Linked DNA regions of Sus scrofa. Each later gene encodes a partner of the first gene's protein in a complex. Links are inferred from orthologs where the notes say so. Each region holds a gene or a part of one and is shown on either strand. Other genes may lie near its edges. The genes, in order: PAPD5 and ZCCHC7.

Evidence for each region.
Region 2: PAPD5 (region 1) and ZCCHC7 share a complex: the UniProt entries of both Homo sapiens proteins name them as parts of the nucleolar TRAMP-like complex. The link is inferred for Sus scrofa from reciprocal best matches to the Homo sapiens genes TENT4B and ZCCHC7.

The regions. Positions count from the first base shown.
Region 1 is NC_010448.4:34,661,731-34,673,803, reverse strand, and holds the start of PAPD5 (non-canonical poly(A) RNA polymerase PAPD5), read left to right. Parts: upstream 1-4,505; 5' UTR 4,506-4,724; coding exon 4,725-5,353; intron 5,354-12,073. UniProt on the Homo sapiens protein: Terminal nucleotidyltransferase that catalyzes preferentially the transfer of ATP and GTP on RNA 3' poly(A) tail creating a heterogeneous 3' poly(A) tail leading to mRNAs stabilization by protecting mRNAs from active deadenylation.
Region 2 is NC_010443.5:237,816,370-237,828,471, forward strand, and holds the start of ZCCHC7 (zinc finger CCHC domain-containing protein 7), read left to right. Parts: upstream 1-4,305; 5' UTR 4,306-4,460; exon of another isoform or gene 4,461-4,464; intron 4,465-4,487; exon of another isoform or gene 4,488-5,021; intron 5,022-9,254; 5' UTR 9,255-9,275; coding exon 9,276-9,885; intron 9,886-12,102.

The DNA.
Region 1 (12,073 bases):
AACCCACTGAGCAAGGCCAGCGATTGAACCTGCATCCTCTTGGATACTAGTCAGGTTTGTTACCGCTGAGTCATGACGGGAACTCCCTAAAATGAGTGAATTTTACAGTACAGAAATTACACTATTGTCTTTAAACACACACGTATACACACACACACATGCATATCCATACACACTCACTAAAGATGCCAGAACACACACAATTTGAGCAATTTTTTTCCCCTACAAGTTAGGAATGGAAGAAATTTTAACTGTACAGAACAAGATACAGGTTTTGAAGTCTCATGGAAATTTATTTCCCTACTTGGAATCCTCTTTGTATTCATAAAGTTGGAAATAACATGGTACAATGGTGCATACTTTGTGCAAAAAAAGGGAAAAGTTGTAAATGGTGCATAAACCCAAGATTACTAATACCTGGAGCAAATGCTTCATTTCATAAATACAGAAGATTCTCATAACTATAACCATATGGCTATTATTCATGGTTTTGTTAACTCTGGAGTGGGGTAATATAATCACACACTAAGATTTAATTATAATGACAATTATTAATAATACCATGTAGTAGTATGTGCAATTCCCCCTTTTTTTTCAAGTTAATAAATCAATGAAATCACATTTAAATTGATTCTTGGGTAACTTGATTCTCATTTCTCTACTCAGTTTTTACTCTGCAGAATCTTGGTGTTTCTATAAATCTTTCAAGCTGAGATCCTCAACTCAATATTTCCCTCCACCCCAGAACAAGAGTACTGAGAATGAATAGGACATTATGCAGGAAAATGTCTCGGTTTTTGATAGCTGTGTTTTTGCCTCATCAATTTAATGAAGGTGGTTTTAAAGAATGCAATATTCTAAATAGCAAAATGAAAAGGCTGAGTAATCAAAATTTATTATTGAAATTAGTGTAGTCTTTCTCTTTGGATGCAGTAGATTACTTTGAGACAAAACATTGCAGATTTGTTGGGGAAAGTGAATACATTTTTTGTGTGTTTAAAATTCCCTACTCTTACTTTAGACTGGATAATTTTTGAGGAAACTTCCAGAAGAGATAACTTTATGATTCTATACCATGATACACGTTCAACATTACATTGCCTTATCTTTGTGCACACAAAGAACATTGCTGCCTCAGGGCCTTTGCACTTGCTATTCCCTCTGTTTGATGGATCACTCCCTAGATGGTCATGGTCCACTCCTTCACTTGAGTCCCTGCTCAAATATCACTTCCTCAGGGCAGCCTTCCCTGATTAGCCCATCTAAAAATAGCATACTGTCACTATCCTTTTAGCTTGCTTTCTTTCTCTTCATAGCACTTAGCCACTGTCTGACCTTAAATGCTAGCCCTACTCACTAAAACATAAGGTTCTCAAAGGCAGGGACCTCATTAGTATTGTTCATCATTGTAATACAGCTTCTGGCACATAATAATGGCTCAAGACATATTTGTTGAATTAACTAAATGAACTGTAATTTAACTTTAAATATTTACCAGTTTTTGTTTTTGTTTTTGTTTGTTGTCTTTTTAGGGCCGCACCTGTGGCATATGGAGGTTTCCAGCTAGGGGTCAAATTGGAGCTGTAGCTGCTGGCCTACACCACAACCACAGCAACTTGGGATCTGAGCCACATCTGCGACCTACATCACAGCTCATGGCCACACTGGATCCTTAACCCACTGAGTGAGGCCAGGGATCAAACCTGTGTTCTTATGGATGCCAGTCAGATTTATTTATGCTGAGCCACGAGGGGAACTCCCCCTGTTTTTTGTTTTGTTTTCTTTAACCTCCCTAACCAGACAGAAAATGTATGGAAGGCAGCCAAAGGCCCTGGCTGCTTATTTATCTTCTCTAAAACAATTCACTCAGTTCTGCAAGGATGCTAGACATTCAACCAAGATTTTCTGAATGAATGCCTTGAAACATGGATGTGTTACATGGCTAACCAGTTAGCATTGCTTGCAGGTGAATAAAAACAGCGATGTCTTGCCTTTCAGCCCATATTTTACAAAGTAATTTTATGTATATTAACTCATTTGATACTTTGCTAATACTTTCTCAATTCTTTTTTTTTTTTTTTTTTTTTTTTTTGTCTTTTTCCAGGGCCACACTCGTGGCATATGGATGTTCTCAGGCTAGGGGTCTCATCAGAGATGTAGCCGCTGGTCTACACCAGAACCACAGCAATGCCAGATCTGAGCTGCATCTGCGACCTACACCACAGCTCACGGCAATGCTGGATCCTTAACCCACTAAGCAAAGCCAGGGATTGAACCCGCAACCTCATGGTTCCTAATCGGATTCTTAACCACTGAGCCATGACGGGAACTCCAATACTTCCTCAATTCTTAAGGTTTGCCTCAAATATAACAACAAATGTTAATTTCTGGCATGTACTATTGCTAATTCTGAATACTATTTTTTTTTTTTTTTTTGGTTGTAGATATCATTGACATTCAATGTGCTTTTGGACATCTGAAAAAAAAATTTTTTTTTCCCTTTTTAGGGCCACACTCAAGGCATATGGATGTTCCCAGGTAGGGGTCAAATTGGAGCTGTAGCTGCTGGCCTACACCATAGCCACAGAAACTCGGAATCCAAGCTACAACTTCGACCTACACCAGAGCTCATGGCAACACAGGATCCCCAACCCACTCAGCGAGGCCAGGGATCTAACCCGCATCTGCATGGATCCTAGTCGGGTTCGTTAACCGTTGAGCCAACAAGGGAACTCCTGAAAAAATATTTTAAACCCCTGAATAAGATTTAAAATAAATAAGTAAACAAGTAAAAATAAGGAGGACTGTCTTGACACATATATGCATGGAGAGATTTTTCAAAGAGGGTTTTACAAAGTCTTCGTGATGGTTATTTTTAGATAGTGGGACCTTGATAATGTTTACTTTTTTCAGCTTTGCATTTTTCTCACTTGAATTTTAGAACAAATTTAAAGTGAAAATGAACTTATTTCTATACAATGCTTTATTTTTGTTAAATTTGCCAGTGTTAACAGCATAAAAATCTCCAGTCATTTTTCTGGCTGTGTAATTCTCAGTACACAGAAAATTCCATTCTAAGAAAAGGTTTAATACCGGTATACAGTAAAGCAACAAATAGAATGAACCAAAATTCTTTAGGGTTTTTGATGTGTTTTCCAATATTTATACCTATGCTATTCTCTCAGCAAGAAATTTGTTAATTTTTCATCTCTGGAAAAAAAAAATCTTTCCAGGATACTGAGCTCCCCAAATAGGTCAAAACTGGGTGTTAAGGACTTCTTCTGGACTTTGGACTAACCATATAGAGCACAGGTGAAACGTGCCCACTTATTTTCCTTTTTTCTCCTGATGATTTAAAATACTTAAAATTCCCTTTTCCTCGTCTTCTATCGCAGGGATGGGGAAGGTGTGCACATGACCCGTTTGTGGAAAATCTCTTCTGATGCCAACAACATGGTCCTCAAATGAGGCCTAAAAGGTTTTGGGTTTTCTTTAATCTGAACTAAGAAGGGTTTTTCATGGTTGCTGGTGCACCTCAGCTCAAGTGAGGTTTCTTTACTCGCTTCGGAGCTCGTGCGTCTGTGCGTGCTTATGCGCGCAAGTCTGTGTAAAGTGGGTTTGGGGAACGTGATGGTGGTTTTGAGCTCACGGCTTACGCACTCTACGAAGAAGTGCGTCCAGCCGTGTAGGTGGGCACAAGTTTCTCCAGTCTCGAAGTCGGGTGGGGGGACCCTCTGCCAAGGCCTGCGGGCTCCCAACGCTGGCCAGGGCGCGGCCAGGCGGGCGCAGGGAATAGCAGGGCGGCCCCACAACAGAGCAATCAGAGCAGCCTGCGTTCAGGGAGGGTGCTGGGCACATGCTCGGGTGGGGAGGGGGCACATTTTCTCCCATCTGGAACGTAGCTTAGAGCGGAGATCTCGGGAGCTGTCCGAGAAGCCCGGGGCGGGGAGGGGTGTCCCGCGGCTGCAGAGTGGGGGAAGGGACAGTGGGCGGGGTGGCACCTCCCACAATCTATTTCCTACGTAGCTGGTGGCCACCTCCGTCCAGCCTCGCCCCGTATCTGGGGTCGGGAAACTGAGACCGGAGGCAGCGCGCGCGTCAGGGGGCACCCGGACGCCCAGGTATGTGCGACACCCTCCACAGACAGCACCGGGACGGTTGGGCCGGGCGGTTGCGGCCCTAGCCGCGGGGCCCAGCGGCCTCTGTGACGCACGGCGCGGCCTCCCGGGCAGGGCTGGCCGCGCGGCGCGGCGGGGGCGGGGCGAGCGCGGGAGGGAGGGGCGGGGGCGGGGGGGCGGAGCGATCGGGGCGGAGCCGGCAGAGGCCCCGCCCTGGGGCCGGAGGAGCGAGGACGCTACGGAGCAGGCGCGTCCTGCCGCCGCCGCCGCTGCCGCCGCCGCCGCCGCTCGCCCTTTGCCAGAGCCGCTGCTGCCGCCGCCATTTGCACGGGGACCCCGGTGACAGGGGCTCGGCAGAGGGGCGGAGGGAGGGGGGGAGGGCCCGCGGAGCCCCCGAGGGCGGGAGCTACGCCGCCGGCGCCGGCCGGGCTCCCTGCGCCACCCCGCCGCCCGCGGCGGGCCGGGAGCAGCAGGAGCAGCAGCGGCAGCAGCAGCAGCAGCAGCAGCCGCCGAGGCCAGGCGTGCGCCTAAGGCGCGGCGGCGGCGGCGGCGGCGGCGGCCCTGCGGGCAGCCGGGAGGGGCGGGGGCAACGGCCGCCGCCGTTTGATGGATCCGAGGATCGCCTGGTTCCAGCCAGAGCAGCTCGGACCGTCCAACAGTCTGTGGATGCAGATCTGGGAGACGACCCAGGGACTGAGGAACCTCTACTTCAACCACCACTGTCACAGCAGCGGCGGCGCGAGCGGCGGCGGCGGCAGCAGCAGCACGGCCACCGGCGGGAGCGGCAGTAGCACCGGCAGCCCGGGCGGCGCGGCCCCGGCCTCGGCCCCGGCCGGCATGTACCGCTCCGGGGAGCGCCTGCTGGGCGGCCACGCGCAGCCGGCGGAGCAGCGGGACTTCCTGCCCCTAGAGACGACCAACAACAACAACAACCACCACCAGCCCGCGGCCTGGGCTCGCCGGGCTACCACGGGCCCCTCGGCGTCCCCGTCCCCCTCGGCGTCCTCGTCCCCGCACTCCTCGGCCGCCCTCCCCGCAGCGGAGCCCGCCGACCCGGCCTCGGGCAGCAGCAACAAGAGGAAGCGCGACAACAAGGCCAGCACCTACGGACTCAACTACAGCCTGCTGCAGCCCAGCGGAGGGCGGGCCGCGGGGGGCGGCCGGGCGGAGGGCAGCGGGGGCGTGTACAGCGGGACCCCGTGGAAGCGGAGGAACTACAACCAGGGAGTCGTGGGGTGAGTGATGGCCCTACGGCCTGGTGGCCTGGGCCCTTGCACACGCGCAGCCGGGCACACGCCCACAGAAGGGGTTTTTTTGGGGGGGGAGTCTGGGTGAGGCCACCCCCCCACCCCCGCCGTCGGCCTGCCTTCGTTTCTCCCCCTCTGGGAGCTGATGGCCATCTCTCATCCCTCCGCCATCCACACCTCCTCCCAACCTTCCTTAGCGGTCCACACCTCATCCCCCTCCCCCTCAGCTCCACGCCTTTTCTGGACGTCCCCTCAGCCATCTACACTCTCTGCTCTCCTCCCTTAGTCATCCACATCCTCCCTCTTAACCATCCAGGTCTTCTCCGACCCCCCTTATCCATCCACTTTTTCCTCCCATCCCCCCCCCCCCCCCCCGTCAAACACACCTTCTCTCTATTCTCTCTAGCCCTTCCCATCGTGCTCCCCATCATCACACCCCAGAATGAAGTCGCTTAGCACAGGCAAATCATTCATTCCCTGAGAACATTCCTGTGTTAGCGCCTTTTGACGGTACAGGACCTGGAGGTGCTTTCCTTGCCAAGAATAGAAACATCCAGAAAGCTCCTCCCCCTCCCCCAATCCCAAACAGGAATCGTGTCAGCCCTGAAAGGCTTCGCCTGCTATTGACCCTTTGGCCCATCCTTTTATTTTATTTATTTTTATTTTTTTCAACAATTCCTGTATTAGCGATGCCTTGCTCTGTGGGGAGTGAGGAATGGAGTGACAGTTAAGTTTAGGCTGGTGGAGATGGTGAGCTTTCCTTCTAAGGCGGATAGAACTTTCTAGGAGTTCATGGTCCTTGGCCCCAGTTTCTCACTGTAAAGTTGTCATCCTGGCAGAGACAGCCAGTGCTTTTCATTCTAGGGGGTAACTTTATGCTAATGAGTGAATGTTGCACCACTAATGACTTTCTGTTTAAAGTTCAGCTGTTACAAAATGGAATCTTACCTGACCCCTAGTGAATTATGTACAGAAGCAGGGATATTTCCAGCTAGATTTCCCTCCTGGAAGAGCCCCTGTGCTGGAATAGATTACAGTCTTCTTTTTTTTTATTTTGTAAAACAAAGCTTTGGGCCTGTGTGTGTGTGTGTGTGTGTGTGTGTGTGTGTGTGTGTTTGCCTTTGAGTATTAAAGAATGAGCTTTAACATTTTCACTTTCCAGATCCTCTTTTACATTGTGGGCCACACTAGGCAAATGAAATCACCATCAGTGGTCCCCTGTGAAACCTTTTCTTAGATTTGGCAGGCAGAGACCGTTCTGTGTACCTTTTTGAAGGTCTGGGTAAAATGAGTTGGTGGGTTCCATCTGCTTCTAGTGGGCTGGTGTCTGCTATACGCTACTATTACAACTCCCACCTTTTATGGAAGATGCCGTGAAGAGTTCTAGGACTGGCACGGGGGTACATATCAAACCTGTCCTCACTTTCCAGAGGGGAACCTTTTAGGGTTGAGCCCTCTGTGCTAAAGCTTCAAGGGCGCTCTCCATGGTCATCTTGTTTTAATAAAAGGCTCATGGTTTCACCCTGTTCACATTTCCAAGATGAAGCATAAACCTGTGGTTTAGTGACAAGCAAATTGATGTTAAGGGGTTCTGGTAGTTTCATTTCCTAGGAATACGCTCCAGTTAAGTAATCACTGTCAACTAAAAACCTCGAAGTTCCCTAATTTCGTTTTCCTGAAGCTTCTGTGTATGTGTGTAGCAAAGATATGTTCTAAACCCCAAATGCTGGCTACCTCTCTTTTTGATAAATTAGAAATTCTTGTCTCTCTACTTGCTGTTTATTGTCAAGGATACTAGAAAAGGCTCATATTTGAACTTAGGTAGAAGCAAGATGTTCTTGTTTCTAATTCACATATTATATTGGTCTCAAAGGGATTAAGGAGGGGAATTTGCATTTCCCAGAGAGATTACTGTTTAAAAACTGGTTGTAAACCTGCCTTAAAACTGCTTATCACTTCATCAGACTTTCCATTCTTTTGCCTCCCTCTTTAGAGGATGTCAGCAGTTAAAGTTCTTACATTTTATTAAGCAGTTCCTAAGAGTGTTTTTGTAAGAGTGTCTCCGTCCGTAAAAAATTCTTGTTTTGATTTACAGATCCTTATTGCTTGGCTGTTACAAAAGTTTTGCTGCTTTTTAATACAAGTATTTAAAGAAGCCTGAATTCAGAGTGCACCTCAATGTTATGCTCTTCGGAGATTAAATATAGTAAAGCTATTCTTGGGATGTGACTGACACTTACCTAATAGGTTAACAAATTGTGGTGGTCCCTGGGCCTCTGACTGTCCAGACAGGGAGAGAAAGAAAGAGCCCAAGAACAGTAGACCGAATCTGTAGGACAGCTGTGTACACTCTCATATCTTTGATCTCCCAGTGTTCTCTGCTTTGGCCAGACTGGTTGACTTACTCCCTGAACACACCAAGATACAGCTCACAATCCTGACCGTGTTGCCCAGGCTCTTGTTTTTTTGGTTCCTCCTTTGAAATCTTACCGGACTTGATTCATGCTCTTGGTAGAGCTTGCTTATGTTTAATTTTCCTTTTATGTATATGTTTTCTCTTACCCACTAGGTCACTAGGTGCAATGAAATTTCTTTCTAAGAAATTTTGGAGTTCCCACTGTGGCACAGTGGGTTAAGAATCTGACTGTAGCCCCTCAGGTCGCTGCAGAAGCGCGGGGCTTGATCCCCCAGCCCAGTGCAGTGGGTTCAAGGATCCGGTGTTGCTGCAGCTGTGGCTTAGGTCGCAGCTGTGGCTGAGATTTCGTCTCTGGCCCAGGAACTTCCATATGCCACGGGTATAGCCATAAAAATAGATAAATAAAAATAAAGGGAATTTTTAAATTTTTATTTTATTTTATTGTCTTTTTGTCTTTTGTTGTTGTTGCTATTTCTTGGGCCGCTCCCATGGCATATGGAGGTTCCCAGGCTATGGGTTGAATCGGAGCTGTAGCCACCGGCCTACACCAGAGCCACAGCAACGCGGGATCTGAGCCACGTCTGCAACCTACACCACAGCTCATGGCAACGCCGGATCGTTAACCCACTGAGCAATGGCAGGGACCGAACCCGCAACCTCATGGTTCCTAGTCGGATTCGTTAACCACTGCGCCACGACGGGAACTCCCAATTTTTATTATTAATTAAGGTAAGATGGAGGGTTTGTAAACGTAGAGTACGATGTTTGGATTTCATCGTGAAGGCTTCATCGTCCTCTTTCAAAGTTGAAACTCACCTGAGTTTACTATCTCAGCATTCTTGTCTTGTGCCTACAGATCCAGGGAGTTTGTTTGCTTTTCTTTTTTCTTTCTTTCTTTTTTTTTGTCTTTTGTCTTTTTAGGGCCGCACCAGCGGCATATGGAGGTTCCCAGGCTAGGAGTCTAATCGGAGCTACAGCTGCTGGCCTACACCACAGCCACAGCAACACCAGATCCGAGTTGCGTCTGCGACCTACACTACAGCTCACTGAAACGCTGAATCCTCAACCCACTGAGTGAGGCCAGGGATTGAACCTGCAACCTCATGCCTAGTCGCATTTTTTTCCACTGCACCACGACGGGAACTCCTATTTTCTCTTTATAAAGTGTCTTTGTTTTCTGTATTTTTGTTTGTTCTTTTTTTTGGCTGTGCCCATGGCATGTGGAAGTTCCTGGGCCAGGAGTCGAATCTACATGGCAGCAGCTACCCAAGCCACTGCAGTGATAATGCCGATCCTTAACTTACTGCACCACAAGGGAACTCCCTAAAGTTGCTTTCACTTATTCTATTTCTTGGGATTCATTCCCTTTCTGTGCTGGCTATGGTGTAGGAAGAAGTCTACCTGCTCTTTCTGGTTGTCCATGAAAATGAACTTTAAGCCCTTTTCAGAGATTTCATTGTCGGTAGTTCTCATTGTGGCTCAGCAGGTTAAGAACCCAGCTAGTATCCACGAGGCCTGGCCTTGCTCCGTGGGTTAAGAATCCGGCATTGCTGCCAGCTGTGGCATAGATCAAAGATGTGGTTTGGATCCCGTGTTGCTGTGGCTGTGGTTGTGTATGCCAGCAGCTGCAGCTCTGATCTGACCCCTAGCCCGGCTTCCATATGCTGCGGGTGTGGCCCTAAAAAGAAAAAAAAAAGGTTTAATTGTTGATCACCATGGAGAGAGATGACAAAAAAGTAACAAACATGGGAAATTTGGGAGCCTCAGAGTCATTGGGCCTGAGCCCTGGTGTCTAAAAACTTCTTAAGGAAGGTGCTTGGGGCTTGTCCAAGCTCATAAGGGTAGGCTTGTGTTGGCTGCACTGCCAGATCTGTAGAAAGTTTTTCAAGGCTGGAATGACTTGTTCAAATAACATTTTGGAGTATGACTTTGACTATGGGACATCAAGAAGTCCATACCGGGAAACTTGGGTTTAAGAAATAATTTCTCGAACTGGGGTGATGGGGATGGGAAAGGGAAAGAATTAACGTGAGAAGTGCTGTAAGTTAAGGACAGGAAAGATTCTGACTCCCGTCATAGATTTAATAATCACCCTAAGCTTTGAATTTGAGTGACTGGGGAAATGTTTGGGTTATTACTGAAAGTAAGAGTGAGGCCTGTTGGTTTGAAGCAAAGGGTGCAGTGCTGTTTAGATGGAACTATCTAACAGGGAATGGAAATTTGGGGGCTGACATAACATTGTCCTTACTGCCGTGGGGCAGTGTCCTTCCTTCTGTATGACACTATGTCACAGTAAATCCAGGATGTTGACCCTCTCCTGCAGCATTGGCATTGTGGCCTCTTTCTGCCTATGTCTACGCAGTATGATCAGTGGGATTGGTGTTAGTGCTGGGCTCTGACTAACTAACTAACTGGGCTCCAGGCAGATTAACATGAAATAATTCAGAGGCATATTTCTACAGTTTGCTGTAAGCGTAATTTCTGTGCATTTGTAAGCGTTAGCCCACGGTACTTCTTCAGTGAACCAGGACCTTCAGGTTGTTGAAGTTTACTGCGTTTGGATGCTGAGACATGCTTTCAAGAAGACGTTGGGTTTTCTGCAGTGTAGGTTCTGCACCGACAGTGTAATTCATATTTGAGAATTTCCCCAAATCTAGTATACTGTGTTCAACTAAGCTGCTTCCATGCCAGGACTCACCTTCTGTCTATAAAATGTGCAACAGTGAACTGCTGTCACAGTGTCAGAATCACTGGCATTTTAACATGTGGAATTGTTTTCAGCATCTATTAAGTTTTTAGGTGTTGGAGGGCAAAAGGAAACAATGACTAGGGCTTTTTAGAGTCTGCCCTGGGGTCACAGAGAAGATTTAGTTGTTGTTCCCCCCGACCCCCCAGGAAAGGAAGCGTGGCTACTAGAAAAAGCTAAGGTCAGGGAGGAGGAGGAGGGAGAGTGTGTGAGAACATTTCTGGTCCTGGTGTGGTAGATGGCCTGACATTGTAACCTCTTACGTGAAACCCTGGCCAGTAAATCCTAGTGTTAGGACTCCAAAGAGGGTCCGTGGCAAGAAAATTCAGGGGCTCCCTTGCAGATATTGGACTGGTCAGATAGTTGTGGGTTCGATATTCTTATACCTGTTAAAGCTGAGAAAAATTTACGCCACTTTTCTGTATGGAAGGTGGAAGCGCAAGCTGTTGTATGATTTTACTCAGCTTTCTATTTTTCCTTCTGTGGAATCCTTTAAAATAACATTTAGTGAGGAAACTATTTCAGGATCACACCCACTGCACTGGAGACTGTGTGTATTAGTCATTTATACACACAGGTATGGAGTAATCCTGAAGGGGTTATAGGCCGGAGAGGATGCTTTTTTGAAGAATTAGGATCCAGTTCCCAGCACCTAGTCTGAGACTCCTATTTTGGCTCTGCTGCAGAGCTGGCTGGACAGCTCAGCCTGCTTCAGGAATTCAGGGGATGGCTGATAGAATGTTCTTTCTAACCCTCAGAGTATTTGTTAGGGACCCAGCTGCTACAGAATGACAAAAAGGCTTTAAATTCACTTTTTACCGTTTTTAACATGACACGAAATTACTTTTTTCTAAGAGAATATTTATTGAAGTTGAGGATGGCCTTGGGCTAGGCTTTTCATTAATTTGAACCCAAACAGCAAGTGATACATTTATTTCTGTCCTGTAAGTTACTTGATGATATTAGAGGCTTTTGTATACTAAGGGCTTTGGGCTATGTGGAAATTTGAATTAGAGATTTGGGGGAAAAACTGAATGTGGAGACGCTTTTGCTGTGCAAGCTACTTAATCACTTGGAGGGTTTCAGATTTGAAAAAGAAGCGTCTTGCCGTGTGTGAGAGATTTCGTGTAGTATCTGGTAACTGAACTTGAGCTCCAGTCATGCTTTCTGCTGAGATGGTTTGAATCGTATACAGAAGTCTGTGTTTCCAAATTTGTTGACTTATTAAAAGTGCTCTATATAATAAAAGTACTCATGGAGCCTTTTTACCATATGCTGTGTTAAATCTTTCGTATTCGTTAATTAACCTCATGTATAGCTTTATCTAATTTTAACTTTTTATTTTGAAATGCATTCGCAGAAAATAGTACAGAAACATCCCATGTTCCTTTCACCTAGTTTCGTGCAGTGATAACATCTTATATAACTGTAGTTTAATACCGCAACCAGGAAATTGACATTGTTATAGTCCACAGCCGTATTCAGATTTTACCTGTATAACACGCACTCATTTGTATAGTTTATGTTTGTGTGTTTAGTTCTGTGC
Region 2 (12,102 bases), on another chromosome or scaffold:
CTAGCAAGGAGATGTTACATAGGCTTTCAGTGAATGAATAGTAATGGAAAGGCAACTGGTAAAATGATTAGTTAGTTCTCAGAGGTTCTAGGTACTACTAATACACCAAACTGAACAAAAGAAAGGAAGGAGCAATGGAAAGATAAGGATGAGTCACTTTGCCAGATCCTGCTACACTATGGCCTCCATCTTGCCTGTCCTTTGCAGCAAGTTCTGCTTCATCCTGGCTCAGCTGCTCGCTGTTAATGTAGTACCGCCACTGCCCTGGGGAAAGCAGGTGCTTCCTTTCTCAAATAAATGGACTCTTTAGACCATTCTCTGTAAGAGAGGCCCCTGGAGCCTTGTGCATGCCTCCATATGTAATCTCAAGAGGTGTGGACCAGAGACGGCATAAGGCAGGAAGAGAAATACTGTTGGGGCGGGGGGTGGGGGGGAGACTCAGAGGTGTGTGTGTGTGTGTGTGTGTGTGTGTGTGTGTGTGTGTGTGTGTGTGTGTGTGTGTGTGTCTGTGTCTTGGGGAGAGACTCAGAGACCTGGATTACCTACACATTCTGCCTCTGCTAGGTGACTCTTGGCAAGTCTCTTCGTGTGTGTGTGTGTGTGTGAGTGAGAGAGAGAGAGAGAGAGAGAGAGAGACCTGGATTACCTACACATTCTGCCTCTGCTAGGTGACTCTTGGCAAGTCTCTTCCCTTACTAGCTTCAGTTTCCCCATCGCAACAGATTTAATCTCATGAATTCTAAGAGCCATTTAAATGAGACCACACCGGAGTTCCTGTCATGGCACAGTGGTTAACGAATCCGACTAGGAACCATGAGGTTGCGGGTTCGATCCCTGCCCTTGCTCAGTGGGTTAACGATCCGGTGTTGCTGTGACCTGTGGTGTAGGTTGCAGATGCGGCTCGGATCCTGCGTTGCTGTGGCTGTGGTGTAGTCCGGTGGTTACAGCTCCGATTCGACCCCTAGCCTGGGAACCTCCATATGCCATTGGAGTGGCCCAAGAAATAGCAAAAAGACAAAAAAATAAATAAATAAATGAGAACACACCATGTAAAGGCAGGGTGTGTGTGTGTGTATATTTACTTGTAGCATCCTCCTTAGTCAGAAATCTCTGTATCCTTGGACCCCTGCAGCTCTTTATGCCATCTTAATATCATGGAGCACCACACTGCATTCTGGTTATTTCGGGTCATGTCATGGTTTCCTACTGAACTGACAGAAGGTGGATCCACGTTTGGTTCTGGTTTCCTAGAGCCTCAGGGAGTTAGCTGTCCTTCCTTTCTTTAACAACTTTATTGAGTGCTTGCTGTCTGCCAAACACTATGTTAGCTGAAGAAGATACAGAGACAAAATGTCAGAGTTCCCTGTGGCTCAGTGGGTTAAGGACCTGGGATTGTCACTGCTCGGCTGTGGCTCAGGTTGCTGCTGTAGTGTGGGTTCAACCTCTGGCTCTGGAACTTTTGCATGCTATTGGCACGTGCACCACCACCCCCCAAAAAAACAAAAGACAAAATGTCAAAGCTTTTTCCTTCAGGGAGTTCACAATCCAGCTGAGTCAAACACAATGTAATTGCCTTGATGGAAGTTTGTCCAAATTGTAGGGGAGCTCAGGGGAAAGAACGCTTTTTCTGTCTGGCTGAGTTGGAAGGTTTCGCTGATGACCTGGGCTTGAGCAGGGTAGGGTGAAGGACAGGGAGAACTTTACCAGCAACAGGAATGCCCTCTGTAAAGGCACAGATATGATAGAGCATAGTGTGTTGGGGCAACTGCTCAGCATTCAGCATGGTGATGAACAGGTAGGCAGATGTCAGCTTATGAAGTGTTCCTTATGCCATCCAAAGGACTCTTGGTTTTATGACATAATCTGTTGGAGGTGACCAAAGCATTTAAGCACAGGAACTAGTAAATCTTCGTTGAATGTAGGAGTAATAGTGGGAGGGCTGGGCACAGAATTAGAATTTCTTACACGTGTGGCCTTAGGCGAGCTACTTAACCTCTGAATCTACTTCCCTTTTTAAAAATTCTCAACCTCAAAGTTTTGTTAAAATTTAAGTTTACATATAGTACACTTACAGGAGTAAGCTTGGCATTTGATAAAAGCTCAATATATTATTATTGTTGTTGTTGTTTGGCTGAGCCCACAGCATGTGGAAATTCCCGGGCCAGGGATCAAACCCACATCACAGCAGCTACCTGAGCTGCTGCAGTGACAATGCTGAATCCTTAACCCACTGCACCACAAGGAACTCCACAATATACTATTTTTTAAATTTTTTTTTTTTTTTGGTCTTTTTAGTGCTGTACCCACAACATATGGAAGTTCCCAGGCTAGGGTTCGAAAGAGAGCTACAGCTGCTGGCCTACACCACACCCACAGCAACTCAGGATCAGAGCCTTGTTTGTGACCTATATCACAGCTCATGGCAACGGCAGATCCTTAACCCACTGAGTGAGGCCAGGGATCAAATCTATGTCCTCATGGATACTAGTGGGGTTTGTTTCCACTGAGCCACAATGGGAACTCCCACGTAATATATATTTTAAAGGTAACATTTGTTGTACATAATACATATAACCTAACCATCTAGTAATTTCTGTGGCTCATTTCTTAGCCTGTTTCTTCCTCTGCAAAATTTTACCATTGGTCCTCCAATTTTACCATTTCACTGTACCCTGTCTTCCTTCCTAGCACTTACTATGTTAACTAAAATTTCTAATTTCCCAGTCAAACTCTTATTAAACTATATGCAAATCACCTGCATTCTGCTTTTCCAGGTAGACTCTAGATCTATGAGACCAGAGACTTTAAAAATTTACCACTACATCCACAAACTGATAGGACTGCCTAGCTCTTAACAGACGTTCAATAAGTGTTGGCAAAAATAATCATTAGAGGGGTTCCCGTTGTAGCGCAGTGGTTAACGAATCTGACTAGGAACCATGAGGTTGTGGGTTCGTTCCCTGGCCTTGCTCAGTGGGTTAAGGATCCAGCGTTGCCGTGAGCTGTGGTGTGGGTTGCAGACTCGGCTCGTTGCTGTGGCTCTGGCATAGGCTGGTGGCTGCGGCTCCGTTTGAAACCCTAGCCTGGGAACCTCCATATGCAGTGGGAGCAGCTCAAGAAAAAGCAAAAAGACAAAAAAAAAAAAAAAAAAAAAAAAAAGTCGTTAGAGTTCCTGATGTGGTGCATAGTGTTAAGGATCTAGCCTTGTCTCTGAGGTGGCTAGGGTTTTTGGTGAGGCTAGGGTTTGACCCCAGGCCTGGTGCACTGGGTTATGAATTTGTGCACTGCTGCAGCTGTGGCTCGGATTGGATTGCTGACCTGGGACCTTCCATGTGCCACAGGTGCTGCCACACACACAAAAAATCAATGTCAAGCTTATCTTTCAAGACTATTGTCAGAGTTCTCTGGTGGGCTTGTAGTTAAGGATCCAGCATTATCATGGCTGTGGCTAGGGTTTGATACCTGGCTGGGAACTTTTGCATCCCATGGGTGTGGCCAATCTCCCCTGCCCCCATCTTAAAACTCAAGACTGTTGCCAAGGGCCCACGAATTAATAAAATATTTCCTTATTTGTAAAGTTGTACAGTTATTAAAATATGGTGTGAGAAGAGAAACCAAGCCAGAGGCTCCCAGCACAATCCTCTAGAGGTTTCCAAGGGACCAGTATCGACTTCAGTGTTTAGCATGAGTGCAGCTTTTCAAGGTGCACAAAGACTTAAATCTGTTGCCTTGTATTCTAGGAAAAATAAGAGGCGGAAGCGCCCCAGCGTAAACTAGGTTCAACTTCAACCTTGAGATGTAAGTGACCTGCATAAGGTCACCTAGCTCAAGAAAGAAGTATCTAGAAGGCAACCTTTCTCAAAGAGGCTTCTCCCTTGCTGAGGTTCTCTACGTCCTCCAGCCATGCCGCCAGCTGCACCTGCCCCTTAGCCCTTACCTGGGTCTCGTGGCTCCCGTGCCACGTGGCATAAGGAAGGTGTCTCCTCCTCCCCCAGGTCAGGGAGGAGGCGGAGCCCAAGCTAAACCCCGCCCCGGAGCATCATGGGAGACGTAGTTTTTCTCGCGGGCACAAAAAGGCGCTAGCTTTCTCCGGTTTGGCTCGGTAAGCAGCATTTTTTCCGTGCAAGTCATTCAAACAAGGTGTTTCCCTATTACAGGTGCAGCCTAGACACTTCTGAAAGAAGTCGTGGCGGGGAAGGAGCAGAGCAAGAAAGGCAAACCGAAAAGACTCTCAGCTGGGAAGGGAAGGGGGAGTTTATAGTTGTTACGCATGCGCAAGAAGGCCCGCAGGGTGGGCGGGGACGGAAGACAACTCCTGGGAGAAGTGTTGTCCCCGGAAGTGCCTTCCCTCCTCCCGGGTCGGCGCGGACGCGGTTTCCTTACCTCATCTGTCCTCGCCCCTCCCCGTCCCTTTACGCGTTTTGGTTCCTGGTTGGTGCTTCCTGGTCGCAGCCGCGGCAGTGAGTATGTGTGACGGACCCCGAGCCGTCCACGGGCCGGGGACCCCTGCCTGCCCTCCGCCTCGCCCGCAGGGCCGTGGAACTAGCGCGTGTCCCCTCGCTGGCCTCCGCGTCTCCCGCCTGTCCCTTACTTGTGGCGGTACCCGGCTCCGCTCGTGGCCTCTCAGTCGAGCTCTGTCCCACGCGACTCAGCTGACTGGCTGAGGTGTCTGCTTCTCCTCCCTTCAAGGCCTGAGACTGTGGTTCAGAAAGAGCTTGGGCGCCCATGGCCTCGATGGGGATGGTGTTACTGCCTGCTTTACCCCCACTACCCTCTGAGAGTCCCCTGTCTTTTAGGGAAGCCGGTCAGTCATTTAAACCCGAAGGGAGCTCGGCCCTTGAGGATCCAACAGTCCTGGGCCAACTCCAGCCTCAGCTGTCAGAAGCAGCAGCTCTGGGGGCCAGAAAAATTTGGGCAGATGGCCCTCTTCCCCCATGTAAAACAAGGAGACTTGTTCCTTGATTCCTTTTATCCCTTACATCCAGGGAACCAGCAGTTAACTTCAGCTCTAACAGCTGCGGGTATGTGTAGTAGGGAAACTGGCTGAGTGAGAGCAGGCCGAGTTACAGCCGCGACTCCACTACCGACTCGCGCTGATGACTCTAGAAGTCTTCTCTTGAGGTTGAATTTACCTTTTTTTCAGGTTGCAGGGTTGAATTAGGAGATCTTTTAGGCTCTTTGAATAAATAAGCTTCTTAGATCCCGTTTCTGTCTGTATAAAATGAGAGCGTTCAATTGAATGACTTCGAGGTCCATTCCAAAACTATTGACTCTGTGTTTTGAATATTTAGCTTGTGTGTATATTTTCAGTTTTGTGATTTTGAGCGCAGTGCACTATCGTTTTCAGGAGAATCTGGGGGTGGGGAATGAACTAAGGAAGAAGTGGAAATGAGGATTGTAAAATAGCTCCAAGGGTAAGAGACTGCAGCAAAAGGAAAAGGGGCCTGTGGAAAAGATGAAGTAAGTGTTTTGAGATAGGATTAGTTATCCTATGAAGACTTTATGTCAGAAACAGCTGGATTTTTTCTGAATAAATTTAGCATTATTTTCTCCCACAAAAATCTTGTATCTGTCTGACTGTGTTTGTGTGAGTGTGTGCCTATTGTTTGTCACATTTGGATTCTCTATCCCATTAGATTTACCTCAAAGCGAAAGTCATATTTGAAGAGTGGACAGAAGTTTTAACACAAGTCAGTAGTGTTTCAGATCTCACTGTCAGAATAGCTCACTAAGAGTGAATCAGAAATTTTAAGTTGAAATAAAACTTAGTCTTTTAATCATGTTCTAATGAAAACTGGACTGAAAATCAAGCTGTGAGTTTGATTTAAATCACTTTGAGATGGATAACTATCTCATCAAAAGGAAACATTTAAGCTTAAACTTCTTTCAAGAGAAATAAAAGCGAAAGGTCTGGAATGATCAGTTGGTAGACTGTGAGCAGAAATACTGGCTTTAAAGATTGTATAGTAAAATCTGAGAGCTTAAATAAATCTTAAATTGTCTGGATTAAAAAAGTTGAGTGAATGAATAGTGTTCTCACTTTGCATGGTGAGAGCCTTTACAGTTATTCTTTATAGCTGTTTCATATTTGTTAAACCATTTTAATTCCTTAGAGAAGTTTTTTTTCCCAGATTGATATTTTAAGTTCTTAGATAAGGGCCATCTTTTTTTGGTCATGGCATTGCCATAGTCTTTGAGTACCAACTTGGGAGGCTCCTGGATGGTAAACTGACAAATTCAAATGTATGCTTTTCTTTCCAGTTAAAATTCTTTCATAGTTTTTAAACTCCACAGGCAAGTAAAATGGATATTGTGAGGTTAATTTACGTCTTAGAACCAGTGCAAATATAGCTTTGAAGGAAGGTTTTCTTTTAAATCTTTATTTGAAATTGTTGATTTTTTTTTTTTTTTTTTTTTTTTTTTTTTTTTTTTTAATCTTAGTGAACACTTGGCTGAGAGTCAGGGAAATGTGAGTCAGTTTTAGCTGACTACAACTTTGGATAAGCCTCCCTATCTTTTTTAGAGCTCAGTTTCCTTCTATGTAAGTTGAGAAGACTGTAGGTGATGATCGGAAAGGTCTCTTCCGGATTTAAAATTTTGAGACTCTCATAGAGACTTTATGTTAACTAGTTAAGTATGCTTGATAATTGTGTACAATGATCAAAAAGCTGAGAAGTCCTTCTGAATCAAGACAGAGTTATATACATATATGTATTTTCATATTTGTCCTCTGAGTATACATTAAAAAAAGTAAATTAAATGCGTTTGAATGCAATTAAAGTAGTAACACAAACCAGAACAGCCTCAGGCAAGCCTTAACTCTGGCATACATAAGCCAAATAAATAGAAGAGCAAGTTATGCTGAGCACAATTTTCAAGTACAGAAGGTACAAAATCCTCTTAAAGGCCATAGGGGCTAAATTGTTAAATTCATTTTTCTACATTTCAGGGAAAGAGATAAACCCTTAGACCCAAGGAAGTCTGTTTTTATTTTATTTCTGTAGTTTATTTTTGGCATACATTCACAGGTGCGCCTATGGCTCTATTCTTAATCCCTTTCCTTTGGGATGGCTCCAAGAGTAGTACAAATTTGTAACTCTGTAATTTAGCTCTTTAATTTTTTCTCTGCTGCACCGGAATTATGTTTTATCTTAAGTCCACACTGGATCCTCAGGATGGATCCACTGAGGATTTTGAAGGAAGCATAATTCCTTTGACTTCTTTTAGAATTAATTTACCTACTAAATAAAAAAGAACGGATTCGTCTTTTATTTGAATTTCTCTGAGGCTAACATTTCAATATAAACTGATAAATGCTATGAGCATTATTATTCAGACAGCCACATTCAACTTGTGTCACAACAACAGCATAGCTGTTGCTAAAGGACTGTGCAGGAAGGGAACAGGTCTATTGTACCTTTCTGAAGGAAAAAAAGGCATTTGTAGTTGGCTCCCCCCTCCCCAGATATAATTGACACATAACATTGTGTAAATTTAAGGTGTTTAACACATGATGATTTGTTACATGTATATATATTGAAATGATTACTGCTTTAAGGTTAGTTAACACATCCATTACCTCCCATCTTTACCTCTGTGTGTGTGTGTGTATGTGGTTAGAACATTTAAGATTTAGTCTCTTAGCAGATTTCAAATATACAATACAGTATTGTTAACTCAGAACTTAAATCATTTTTTTCCCCAAGCTTTATTGAGACATAAGTGACATATAACACTGTATAAGTTTAAAGTGTACAACAAAGTTTGGTTTCTTTATTTTTATAAAACAGGAAACTCCAGCATGAGCGTAGTATATTTTTGGCTCTTATTCATTTGACTCTTGGAATCAGCAGGTTCTATCATTAAAAGTACCCTGACATTTGGGGCAGACAATTGGTAATTTAGTCTTCCTAAATTTAGTCTATCTAAATAGTAGAGTAGAAAGAATAAATTGTCATTGTTGTTGTTTTCCAGACTGTCCCTGATTTTTTTTTTTGACAAAAATGAGGTTTTTGTCCCTTTTCCAGAGCTTTCATTTTGATCAATATTCTGTTAGTACCTAATTGAAACATCTGTGTAGATTTTTGGTTGATGATATGAGAATATTTGGAATAGTTGGAGACAACTATGATATTCACCTCATAATTTTCGTATTTTACGGACATATTAGATTTATTAGAGCTGAAGAACAAATGCTTGATGATATTATCCATTTCTTTATTCATTCATTAATTCAGCAGACATTTATAGAGGCCCTGCTAAATGCCAGTTATTCTGTTCAACTTTGGGGATCCATTGTTTAACAAAGCGCATATAGTTCTTTCCCTCCTGGGATATGTGATCTGTGCTTGTGGGAGATTTACGTTGCATTAGTAATTAGAAGTGTGAATGTTTTGAAATGTAAAGAGCTGTGGAAACCTATAAAGGGTTGACAGTTTAGTTTGGTGGGTCAAGGAGAGCTTCCCTGAGGAAGTGATATTTAAACTGTGTTGAATGATGAGCAGGATTTAATAGGCTCACAGTAGGAAAGTAAAGTGCTCTTGAAGCTGAATTTTACCTCAGTTTTAAGTCTTTAGTTTGTATTTCATACACATCTTTATAGCTAACAGAGAAATAAACTAGGTTTATCCAATATTTTTATGTTCCTTTGGGTCAGAGATCAGAAGGCCATGAGATTCATTTTTTAATTGGGAATAAAAATATACACCCAAACAGTAAATATGATCATTGTGTCCTTTTGTGAATTTTAGTCATAATTGAGGTGATATTCCTCAACCATGTGGGAGTGCATGTGAGGTGGGAGAATGTATCTGAAAAGATGAGGTACAGAACCAGAACCAGGGAAAAGATGAAGAATGGATGGAATAGTAGTGAGAATGACCTAAAATATTTTTGTGTGGTTTTTTGTTTTTGTTTTTGTTTTTTTAACATTTTGGAGAAAAAGTGGTGTCTGAAAGAGTGGGAACTTGTTTTTCCTTTCTGACATACTTGTGACCTTTCCATTAGTAACTATAACTCAGTTTGTTGGTAGTGATTGTCATTTGGGAGAGGTGGGCATTATTAGAGTGGTCATAACAATTAGAAATTCTTAAAAAATGATATTCCTCTAAGAGAAAAATATTTTAATTTGTGATTGAGCATCAATAAGTGATGGCCTTCACAGAAGTTAGCTCTAAGAGGTGATTTGTTATGTACTAAACAGGCATGATCTGACCTGTTAAAATACATTCTTTGTATGACTTTCTATTTTACAGCCTCGAGATTACTGACCTTCCATGATGTTTGGTGGTTTTGAAACTATAGAAGCATATGAAGATGACCTTTATCGTGAAGAGTCATCTAGTGAACTAAGTGTCGATAGTGAGGTGGAATTTCAGCTCTACAGTCAAGTTCATTATGCCCAAGATCTTGATAATGTCATCAGGGAGGAGGAACATGAAGAGAATAACTCTGGGAATTCTGAATCATTTGGTAGTAAACCAAATCAGAAGAACTTAATTATCCTTTCAGATAGTGAGGTCATCCAGCTATCAGATGGGTCAGAGGTCATCACTCTGTCTGATGAAGATAGTATTTATAAATGTAAAAGAAAGAATTTTAGAGACCAGGCAAAAGAAAAGACCCAAGGTCCTCCTGCTTCTCTTCATTCTAATGAGCTGGCAGATCAGAAATGCAAGAGGGATGTTGAGAAGCCTCAACCTGGAGAGAGATCGGGTGCAGTCCAAGAAGTCATGATTATAGAGGTCAGTTCAAGTGAAGAGGAAGAGAGCACCATTTCAGAAAGTGATAACGTGGAAAGCTGGATGCTGCTGGGATGCGAAGTTGATGATAAAGATGATGATATCCTTCTCAATCTTGTGGGATGTGAAAAGTCTCTTAATGAAGGTTAGTATCATATTGGCCATTTTGAAAAGTAGTATCGTCTTTCATAAGGAAGGCTGCTTTTTCTAGACAAAAGACCAATAGGGTCTGCTCCATTTAATTCTTCACCTTTTGGTCATGTTTTTTGGCTTGTTTCTCATGAGACTGTCTCACCAACGGCTTCTTTAATGGTGGTCTGTCTGAACATCAGAAAGAGTCTATCACAATATCAGAGACACTCTGCTTCTACTGTAAGCAGATTCATAACTGCTTCTTGCTGTTTGGCTAGAGCCAGTTCTGAACGTGAAATCTTAGTTCCCCCCTCTCTCTGCTTGGTACCACAGGTGAGTACTCCATCCATCTCTGACAGTGGCCCTGTGTGCTCATTTGGCCAACTTTGTTGGTTCTGCCTCTTCCTAAGTGATTTGCCTACCCAGGAAGTACCATATAGCAAGCATGGGGAATGCCTGGTATACAGAAGATATGGAAATAGTATTAAGATGTTTAGGAGCTCCACAATCAGTAAGATAGGAAACTGTGAAGAACGATTGGTAAGATAGGAAACTAAATTCTGAGAGCCACATCATTGAGAATTGAAATTTTGCTGTTAGTTTTGTCTCCTCTGTCATATGTAGTCATTTAGTGTTGATGCTTATCCTTTTAAAAAACCCTTTCATTTCTTTCCCTTTTTGCTCTGTGTGTAGTGTCTTGCAGTATTTTCCTAAATGATTTTCTTTTGTATGTTCCCTGTACACTGTTGTTAAATTGGTATTCTTGAAGTGCCCTTTGCGCAGTACTTTACTCATTTCTAAAGTACTAAATGTACTTTACTGCTGCTCCAAAACCTTCAATGGCACCCTCTTGTCCTCAGAGTAGATGATAATATTGAATATAGTTCATGGTTTGGAGCCCCAGAGATTGACAACCCTTTTTTTAAGGAGCCAGATAGGAGATATTTTCGGTTTCCAGGCCATAGGATCTCCTAACTACCTTCCTTTATTGTAGGAAAGCAGCCATGATACCTGAAGAAATGGGTTGGCTATTTCAACAGACTCTTATTTACATGACCGGTGTTCTGGCTTAGGCTGTAGTAGCTCTGAGAATTTGATAGCAAAAGGAAGAAAATAGCATAGTAGCTAGGACATATTACACAATCAAGTAAAATTTTGTCTGAATAAGAGATTTTGATAATGTTTTAGGGGAATCTTTTGAAGAAGGATTGGGGGATGATTGAGGATTGATTGGGGTGGGATCAAGTAAACATGTCTGATTTAGTATTAAAAAGGAAGACATTTAATGTTAAATTACCAAACATTTATAGAGGTAAAGAAGAAAGAATTCAGATGGATTCAGGTGGATGAGGGAATATATGAGGATGTGTTTGATTTTCTTGGCAAAATGAAAGTGGTAGTGGGTCTGGAAATGGGCAGGGGATACTTAGAGGCTGAGAGTGGGTGGAGGATGTTTAGGTCTATGGGGAGTACTCGAGGCAGTGGTCCCCGTCTTTTGAAGATGACAGCCTCCTTAACTTCAAAACAATGTGTGGATCCCCCGCATGACTATAGTTATGTTTTTAGTATTTGTTAATTGAGAAATTGCATATTAGGAGTTCCCGTCGTGGCGCAGTGGTTAACGAATCCGACTAGGAACCATGAGGTTGCAGGTTCGGTCCCTGCCCTTGCTCAGTGGGTTAACGATCTGGCGTTGCCGTGAGCTGTGGTGTAGGTTGCAGACGTGGCTCAGATCCTGCGTTGCTGTGGCTCTGGCGTAGGCCGGTGGCTACAGCTCCGATTCAACCCCTAGCCTGGGAACCTCCACATGCCGCGGAAGCGGCCCAAAGAAATAGCAAAAAAAAGACAAAAAAAAAAAAAAAAAAAGAAATTGCATATTAGCAAAAAGCTATTCAGTATGCTCATACACGACTTTGTATTTTATTAACTACAACATTGTTTGCACATTTTAAAAATATTATATAAGGCCTGTTTCCCACATATGTGGCCTTAAATAATGCATGCTTCTGGCTACCTGTTGCGATAACTGATTCTGCAGCTCCCCAGGAATCCGAAGTTCACAGGGTGCAAATCATTGTGCTAAGAAATCAACAATAAGAATATACAAGGATTGCTTAGAAGTAGTTGTCAATCAAAACTGAAACAACATGAACTTGATGAACTCACTTTTTCATAACTTTTTCTAGTAACATGTGGGGCAAAGATGACAGAAATGAGATAATCCAGGGTT